2 linked regions of the Arabidopsis thaliana genome follow. The protein of the gene in region 1 interacts with the protein of each later gene in a pairwise test. Each region holds a gene or a part of one and is shown in the gene's direction. Other genes may lie near its edges. The genes, in order: AT4G32295 and AT4G14720.

Region 1 (4,045 bases):
TTGTTGTATCTTATTATTACGTTAAGAAATTATATATTTAATTCGAGTACACTAATTATAGAAATATATAATTCAATGGCATTTCATATTTGGAATTTTACATCTTTATATAGAAAAGTATTCGTCTTCTCTCGAGTTGTCATTTAATATACATAACGTTCTTAGTTTTATTTGGCCACTAATTCTAATAATTTTGATCACTGTACTGTTTATCCGAAAAGAGTATATATGAATTGAATTCTATTTGGTTATCATTTCTTGTACTTTATCAGTTTGTCATAAATCTGACTAAATCATAGGCCACACATAATGTGATTGTGTATGTATAAAGAATTTATTCGTTTGATTAGTGTGTTCAAAGCTAACATTAAAGGAAGGAGTCATAAAAATATTCGATTTACGTGGAGGGTTCTTAGTCTTACAAGTGGATTGATGGAAACCGTTGGATGGTAAGCTTTCTAATGACATCACGTGGCTGCGTGAATTTTCGTAATCGATCCGTTTTAGGAAACGTTTCCGTCTCGAAGGCAACAGCTTTGTTGGATACGAGTTTCTCTGTACGGTGGTCCACGTGGTCGACATGCAATAGATTTGGGCCTTTAAAAATCTGAGTTTTTGGGCCTTTCACTAACGACGAGAAACCTTAAGGTGGTTTTCATTTTGAGTTTTTGAGTTCAGACTTGAAAAGTTTTAGGACGATGGGTCTTCGGTAATGTTTTAGACCTTTACTTTATTTGTCAGCAACGAGATTTTATTTTAGTTTGTCAATTCACTGATTTTTTATTTATTTACTAGGAGTTCGCGGACAATCGGTTTATTTGATTCTTATACTAAATTTTTGAATGAATTTGATATTTTAAACTTATAAATATAAAACTTTTTAATTAAATATAACTAAATAATAATTGGGATTTTTTTTTTTTTTGTTATTTAGTAATAAAAGGAATGTATTAAAATATGTATTAATTAGTTATGTGTATGTAATTTTAGTAAAAGTAAAGACTATATGAATTATGTTATTTATAATTATATGTCTTTAAAGTGAAGATAAAAAAAATAAAATTATTTTACTTATTTTTGTTGAACGGAATTAATTTTATTGAACGGTTTAGATTGAATCGGATCATATAAAGTTAAGTAGATTGTTAAGACCAAATTACCATAATGATTTTGAATAGCAAAGAACAAAATCCAAAATTAAAATCAAAATTAAGGCGAAATTAAACAAAATTTTAATTTGTATTTCCCTTTTAATAATAAAGAGATTGACGTCATCTTGAATGTTTCAGTGTCAGCGAAAAATTATGGCAAAAGATTAGACGCGGTACGAAAGCAATTCACAAGATTTCATTTTGTTTCCTTTATTATTACTTTCAATCATACGATCTTCTTTTGTGATTTGTAGAGAAAAATCATACTTATTATGCTTTTTAAGTCGTTCTTCTTTTTTCCTCACAAGACATGCAATCAATTGAGACCTCACTGGACTGGGTGATTTGACGCAAGTTATCCACGTGTCTTATTTAAATTTGACAGTTCAAAATCACTCCAACAGTTGCCTAAAACTCCTAAATAATTTGGTGAATGGTAGAGTTTTTAGTTATATTTTAGTAAATTATTGGACTGCAACTCTACATAGAGTAGGCCGGACCATGATAAGTTTAGGCAGACTAAACCGGACCGGACCGGACCGGACCAGTTGGACAGGACTACCTCTCTCCCCCACCACACTCAAATAAATTATTGAGAAGTGAAAACTAGTGAAGAACAACAATCTCACTTTGTCTTTTTTTCTCTCTCTCTCTCTCTCTCATAGAAAAGGAAGTGGTGGAAGATGCCGAGGCCAGGGCCAAGACCGTACGACTGTATCAGAAGAGCTTGGCATAGTGACAGACACCAACCCATGAGGGGTTTGCTCATCCAAGAGATTTTCAGGTCATCATCATCATCTCTCTCTCACTTTGGATATCTATCTGTGTATCTATAGGTTTGTGTGTGTGCATGTCTTTCTTTAGCTCAATTGTTCTTTGAACTATTTGTAGGATTGTTTGTGAGATTCACAGCCAATCCACCAGGAAAAACACAGAATGGCAAGAGAAGCTCCCTGTTGTTGTCTTGAGAGCTGAAGAAATCATGTATTCCAAAGCCAATTCTGAGGTTTTTCTTCCAACATTTTAATTACAAAGGATTGTTTCTAAATAGTATTTCGATTTTCATTTTTTGCTTTTTATTGCCCTCTTTGAACAGTGTGACTGATAGTCTCTGGTAATCTGTACTAAACCTTGGATTTTATGGAGTTGATAGAGTGGATTTGTAGCTAATGTGTTCATTTGGAATATGAATATTTTATATACTTCTTGTGGGTTTGATGTTAGGCTGAGTATATGGACATGAAGACCCTTTTAGACCGTACAAACGACGCCATCAACACAATCATACGACTTGATGAGACCACCGAAACAGGGGAATTTCTTCAGCCTTGTATTGAAGGTATACAATACAATCTGTATATTCGAGCTTTCGGGGATTATTGGCTCAGATCAATGAGCAAGTCTTGTTTATTATGTAGCTGCATTGCATTTGGGGTGCACACCAAGGAGAGCTTCAAGGAGCCAACGGAACATTAACCCGAGATGTTATCTTAGCCAAGACTCAACTAACTTGGACAACATGTTGTCCCAAGTATTCATGAAACCAAACAACTTTGCTCCAAAGAATCTTGCAGTAGCACAAGAGAATTGCCCTGTCTCCAAGTACTCTGCCTACCCTTTATGCTATTCATTCCGGCCAATCAGTGACTCGTGTAAGTCCAAGAACAGTAGACCGGCGAGTCTCATTGACGCAACAAATGGCATTACCTTTGGTGGGTGTGAATGTGATCTATCTCTGCGCTTAGGTCCTCTTGGACCTCCTACTCAAAAACGAAGTAAGATAAGCAGCAACAATAACAACTGAAAAGGAGAGCAAGATTGGGTTTTGATTAGCAAGTCTTGTGTTAGAAGAATGTGTGCTTAGTTAGGCCTTTTAGTCTCCTCTCTAGACCCTAGGTTTAGGTTTGTGAACATGTAAATAGAGAGACGAAGTAACAAAACAGGAGATGAAGTCGTTTTCTTCTACCTGCATCAATCTCGAATCATCAGACTTCACGAATGTATTTTTACATTGCAACACTGTTCGAGAAATATCCATTCCACATCTCTGTTTTCACAACAAGCATATTAAATGCCCTACATTGGATTTTCCATCGAAAGACTTTAGTTAGACTCCATCTGATTCTTCGGCGACCGATGATGACTCTAGCAGGCTCCTTATGAAATGGGCTTTTTTGAGCCAACTCAATTTAGGCCCATTTAGTTGCAAGTAGGCTGAAGAACATTCGGTAAAACGGATCGAACTTAAAGTTTCGTTTGCATTTTTATGAAGATAAGACACACTTGTAACAACTTTGTGGAAGATTTTTGAAATCGTCTGTTCTACAGAAAAACCGAGTGAACTTGGACGTTAATCATCATAATCAACATGAGATTCTAAGTACATTAATTAACTATATAATTCTTGATTATTATATGATTTCATACGATCCAGCTGTTCGACATTAGACTCGAATTTGAATCAAAGAGGACAAATCTTAGATGCAAAAACTATCTTAACAACCAAATCTTTTGTGTAGATATACAAATGCTCTTGCAGATATTAGTAGTTAAAAAGGAAGAGAAGATATTTTATTGTGTGTTATAAACCATTGGACCTATTTCAATTTCAAAAGCATAATTAAACTAATTCCTTGACAACCTGGAAGACCTCGTCAATTCTCAGTTTTCACCTAATACGAATCTTATCAACCTGTGGGAACGAAACACACTTACCAGCATTTTTCCAAGCAGTCCATTGTTGAAAATTGGCAAAGTAAGATTTTAAAAAGGGCCAACTTTTTTTGTAGTTTAATAATTTTTTCACAAAAGTAATTTCTCATTGGATTATGAGTAAAGCTTTTCTTTCTCATTACCCAACCTGGTCCATTATTATACATATATGTACAAGAAAC
Region 2 (5,588 bases), 7.2 Mb from region 1:
TGTTTCCCTCTTCTTTATCTCATATCTTCCACTACTCTCAATAGTCAATTCTATATCCCAATTTTTATGTTAAGTTTTTACGATTTACAAGTTATTGGCAAATTGAAAATTGCTGTCAACTTGCTAGAGGGTATTGTAACAGTACTACCAAATATGAGGTCGAGTCTTAAGTGCTATATATGGAGAGAGATGATTTACGTTTGTGGAATCGCAATAAGTATATATTATCAAATGCTAGTCCATGGACATAAAACTATGAGCCAAAAATTAGAAATTTCTGGTTAACAATAACAATAAAGAAAAAAAAAATGGTATATGCATATACAGTATAAGGTAGATAGTTTTGATTTTTGAAGACCATTGATTAATATTATATATTTCAATATCAATTGTTGGTAAGTTATAAAAACCTTCAAACGAGAGTGAATTAACTTCAAAGTCACAAAGTTCGACTTTCGATGTTAAAAAAAATAAAATGTTTACACGTTCCATTCTCTTGTTCAAAAAAATTATGGATCAGTATTCCAAATTTCATAGTAATCTAAAAAGAAAAAGTTGCATTAATATGGTTTGCTTATCTAATCATTTTTCGGGACATCACCGTATGTATGGATGACGAAACTATATTTTAAAAAGAAGTTTTCAACTGTTCGTTTATTCATGCATGTATATCTTGACAATTACGACATTGGATGAATTGAGTGATGAATCCTTATCGTACATCACGAGTATAATTACATGTATCATGCATTGTTATCAATTATCACTTTATATATTGGATAATGAGAAGGGATGTCACGCAAGACCAAGCAAGGTTTAAGGGAGAATCGATATTGGTCAGACTCATGTGAAAATATATTTCTCCTCCTTCGTCTTGTCAATTTATTACTCTATCTCTTGTATTTTTCAATTGTTTTGGTATTCACTTCAGAAAATGACTAGTCTTCGTTTTTATGTGTTGAGCCATTTTCATTTACATGCATCTAAATGATCTACTGAATATGGATATCGAAGAGATTTTTTAGTATAATGGTTTGTGCTAGATCCTTTAACAAAAAAGTAAATGGTTTGTGCTAGTGTTTTTGTTGTATTGCTAATTTGCTATCCAATTCATAGCACACATGTTGTTGCCAAACAAATGCTAAATCCATTTTAAAAGTATCAACTAGTAAATTAGCTTAACAAATTTTTTGTTAACATGTTTATGAGATGTTTTTTTAAGAAAAAAAAAACTCATTTAACATGATTACATTTAGGGTTTGATTGGTTGTTTTAAACTGAAAATTGTCTGTTTGCAAAAATGTTTGGAATGATTATCTTTTTGCAAAAATTGCGTGACATGTTGAAGTGTTGCAATGCTGGAGGTTCTGCTAACTAACAAGTAATAATCGTATAAGTGACATGATCTTCCATTTTTTAGAGATACTAACCAAGAATTGTAAAACCAGGAAAAAAACACTAACCAAGAATTGATGATTGTCCATCTAGACTAAAGTAGTATACAAACAAAACACAAAAGATATTTTGTTCTATTTTTGGAATAACTCTTATCCATTTATAGAAATAATTAGTTGTTTAATCAAAATATCACATGCAAATTGATCGTATGCGATTTTAGATAAATTGACATCCACTCAGTAATAAACAAACAAGATACTCTCTGATTACAAAATAATCTCTGTTTTCTTTCGTGTCATTTTTCTTTATCACTCATGCTATTATTATATTTAAATTTAATATAAAACTGTTACCATTTACTATTTTATTTCACTGTTTGACGCGAAAAAAATAATCAGCATAAGATTTACCCAAAAAATAAAAAATAATTGGGATACTTAAGCAATGCATGATTAGGCTATAATCTAGAGAGACTAATAGGATGCTTACGTGGCAGTCTAGGGAGCTTCGCTGCTCCAAAAACCATTCCCCTAAAATTGAAGCCCATAGACTATTAGCGACTTCACTCTTTCTCTTTCTTTCTCTCTCTCTCTCTCTCTCGCTCTTCTAATTTTGCCCTCAAAACCCTCCAATTATTACGAAAACGCCACTGCTCTCTCGTCGGGACTCCGGTGAGGCCGTTTTGGCCGGAATCTGACAAGGGATATGGATGTAGGAGTTACTACGGCGAAGTCTATACTTGAGAAGCCTCTGAAGCTTCTCACTGAAGAAGACATTTCTCAGCTTACTCGCGAAGATTGCCGCAAATTCCTCAAAGAGAAAGGTTTCTTCTTCTTCCTTTCTCCATTTTTTTCCGGTCTTATTGTCTTCGACGGTAGGATCTTCCTCACGGATTTTGCTGAGAAGAATCGTACATAGTCAATTTTTTGAAATTCTCTATTCTTCTTCTCTCCGAGCTTTTTTTTTCGCTCTCTGGAGAATGGCGGCTGACACGTGTCGAAACAGGAATGCGCAGGCCTTCGTGGAATAAATCTCAGGCGATCCAGCAAGTTTTATCTCTTAAAGCTCTCTATGAACCTGGAGATGATTCCGGCGCCGGAATCCTCCGCAAGATCCTTGTTTCTCAGCCGCCAAATCCGCCTCGCGTGAGTGTTGTTCTTCGATTTTGTTTCGATTTACAGAGAAAAATCTAAGTTCTGAAGTAGTAGAGAATCGTTTACTTGGTTGGTGCTGATTTAGGGAAAATTGTTGTTCTGTGTGTACTGCTGTTTTGTTCACAGGTTACAACAACGTTGATTGAGCCAAGGAACGAGCTCGAAGCTTGTGGAAGGATTCCTTTACAGGAAGATGATGGTGCGTGCCATAGAAGGGATTCTCCAAGATCAGCTGAGTTTTCTGGTAGTTCTGGTCAGTTTGTTGCGGATAAAGATAGCCACAAGACTGTTTCTGTTTCCCCCAGGTTTACATTTTCTTCTATAGCGTTTTGACTTTGTGTGGTATCTTTCTTCTGCTTTCATGCCTCAAGAAGAGAACTGATGCATTGTGACATTCTGTTTGTGATCTTAGAATAAGTACTTGGTTTGATATCAGTGTCTTAGACATTGAAAAGTTTCTATATGAATCATGGTTTTGATGGTGGATTGGTCACACAGAATTTAGGTTAAAAGAGTCAGATAGATCTTCTTGGTTCTGTGTTACTCTTTACTCTTCTGTTTTGAGGATTGGTATGATGTGATGTGATTATTGCTAGTGAACGATAAATCAGTTACTTAGTCCATTAGTCTATATGATTTGTGAATTCTGCAATTACTAACAAGAGTTTTAGGGGTAGTTCATGTACAAAGTCTTATTGATATTAGGTGCATGTTGTTTTATAAACAAATTACTACTCCAATGTTATTTAATTAAGTTGTTTAAACACGCTTTTTTGTAATGTTGCATCAGAAGCCCAGCTGAAACAAATGCGGTGGTTGGGCAAATGACGATATTTTATAGTGGCAAAGTGAATGTATATGATGGAGTACCACCTGAAAAGGTAAATGAATCACATAATTCTGTCCAGCCTGAAAATATAAATTTTGATGGTATGGTTTTGATCATTCATCTTGTGTATTGATTTGCAGGCCCGGTCTATCATGCATTTTGCAGCCAATCCAATTGATTTGCCTGAAAATGGTATTTTTGCTTCTAGTAGAATGATTTCGAAACCCATGAGTAAAGGTAAGCATTTGCTAAAGTGTCTGATCTGCTTTTCAGTTGAAAGATTGATGATTCAGACTTGAAATGAGTTTTTTTTTTAATGTATAATCTAACTTGAAAAAATGACTAGAGCTGCTGCATCTCAAGATGAGTCTTTCTTTCTTTCTTATGTCAAACACGGCCTTTCATTTTGTCCAATTTTGAAAGGAGGCATTGTTAAATTACCAAAGAAGCATGTCTAAATGCTGTAATTGCTGCTACCTCTACTAGCTTATGTGTCTACAGATGCCTCGTGCCCCTTTTTTTGAAATTGTGATTTGATTTTTTCAGAGAAGATGGTGGAGCTTCCCCAATATGGACTTGAAAAGGCACCTGCTTCTCGTGATTCTGGTACAAACAGTACTCATTTTACCTTAAAGATATGAAATCCTATTATTCAATGATGCTTTAAAACACCTGAGAGCGAAATTTGGTCCACCTCTTCACCTCTACATGCTACGCTAAACTACTTGCTTGTTCTGCATGATATACGACCATGAAATTCTGTTAATTTAACTATTGTTCTTTTTGTTGGTCTTTTCTGAAGATGTTGAGGGTCAGGCGAACAGAAAAGTATCGTTGCAAAGATATCTTGAAAAGCGGAAAGACAGGTAGTTGTTGCTATTATGCTGTGTGCTTGCTTATTCCAAATCGATGAATACTGATACCTTTCTTTCTGAGCAGAAGATTTTCTAAGACCAAGAAGGCTCCAGGAGTTGCGTCCTCTAGCTTGGAGATGTTTCTGAATCGTCAGCCACGGATGAACGCTGCATATTCACAAAACCTTAGTGGCACAGGGCATTGCGAGTCACCTGAAAATCAAACAAAAAGTCCCAATATCTCAGTTGATCTAAACAGTGATCTAAACAGCGAAGGTATGAACAAGCATTTGTCAAATGGTTCCAATGATCTCCCTTAAAACTCTCATTCGCTTTTTTATAGATAATTAACAAGGTGCCAAAAGAACTGGAGATGGTACTACGGGTCAAAAGGCGGGAAGAACAATTTCATGTTCTTATAACATGTTAGCCATGTACAAAAAGAAAGAAAGCAAACAATGAATGTTCTCGTTCATTGTGGAAGAAACATGGGTTAAAGATTTGAGCTGGATCAGTGCGGGTCTTGTATGGTTTTGTTTTTTTTACGGGTTGCGTCCATCTTTTTTGGTCTGTAGTTTTGAGTAGGTTAGAGAGACGCGAGAGAGAGAGAGAGGATGTGGCGGTTTGTATTATGTAAATGCTTGTCTTATAATGAGAGAGACCTTATTGATGATACCAATCTTTGAGGTCCAAGTAACACAACTTCTTTGTGATTGATATGTATGAGATAATTAATTTGTCTATTTTCATGGCATGATGTATGTGATATGTCTGAGATTTGCAACATTCTTCTATAAAGTTGAGAAATAAGGGTAGTTTAGTCTTTTTAACCAAAGATTTTTATTTATTTGATCTTTTCCCTGTTTTAAAAAGAAGAATCGAGTAATCGGGTGGTTTTGAAGACGAAGAAGGACTAAGACATCACGAGGAACACGATGGGTGAAGCGGTCAAGGTATGTTTTTATCTTTGTCTCCTCTGCTTCTGATCTGTTAATGCCAATCGATAATTCCTAGTTTTGCGATGCAAGCATGAATCGTCGATTGTTATCTGAGTGATTTGATTCATTTTCGACGATTTTCGAATCATCATAACTACTTCTTTTGCTCAAATCTCGCAGTCAGTTTAATGCCTATTCGTATTCAATTTAGTTATGCAATTGACGATTTCTCGAATTGTCTGAAGTTTTGAAGCTAAAATCAGATTAAATATAAAATATCTGAACATTGCCTCCCAAGGAATCTAATCCCATCTTGATGTGCTTTTGCTTAGGATGGGAGAGAAGAAGTGATTCAAGCTTGGTATATGGATGATAGTGAAGAGGATCAGAGACTTCCTCACCACAAGGATCCTAA

Evidence for each region.
Region 2: the proteins of AT4G32295 (region 1) and AT4G14720 interact in a two-hybrid assay, tested with the Arabidopsis thaliana proteins (2 studies listed by BioGRID).

Annotation. Positions count from the first base shown.
Region 1 is NC_003075.7:15,591,126-15,595,170, forward strand, and holds AT4G32295 (histone acetyltransferase), read left to right. Parts: upstream 1-1,762; 5' UTR 1,763-1,834; coding exon 1,835-1,935; exon of another isoform or gene 1,936-2,042; coding exon 2,043-2,157; exon of another isoform or gene 2,158-2,375; coding exon 2,376-2,490; intron 2,491-2,569; coding exon 2,570-2,955; 3' UTR 2,956-3,430; downstream 3,431-4,045.
Region 2 is NC_003075.7:8,431,450-8,437,037, reverse strand, and holds AT4G14720 (TIFY domain/Divergent CCT motif family protein), read left to right. Parts: upstream 1-1,932; 5' UTR 1,933-2,103; coding exon 2,104-2,221; intron 2,222-2,403; coding exon 2,404-2,543; intron 2,544-2,678; coding exon 2,679-2,857; intron 2,858-3,342; coding exon 3,343-3,433; intron 3,434-3,521; coding exon 3,522-3,618; intron 3,619-3,927; coding exon 3,928-3,987; intron 3,988-4,183; coding exon 4,184-4,247; intron 4,248-4,320; coding exon 4,321-4,555; 3' UTR 4,556-4,578; coding exon of another isoform or gene 4,579-4,586; 3' UTR 4,587-5,065; downstream 5,066-5,588. Other genes in the region: ARD1 (acireductone dioxygenase 1), read left to right, coding at 5,171-5,188, 5,506-5,588. UniProt on the Arabidopsis thaliana protein: Regulates the arrest of dispersed meristematic cells during lamina development.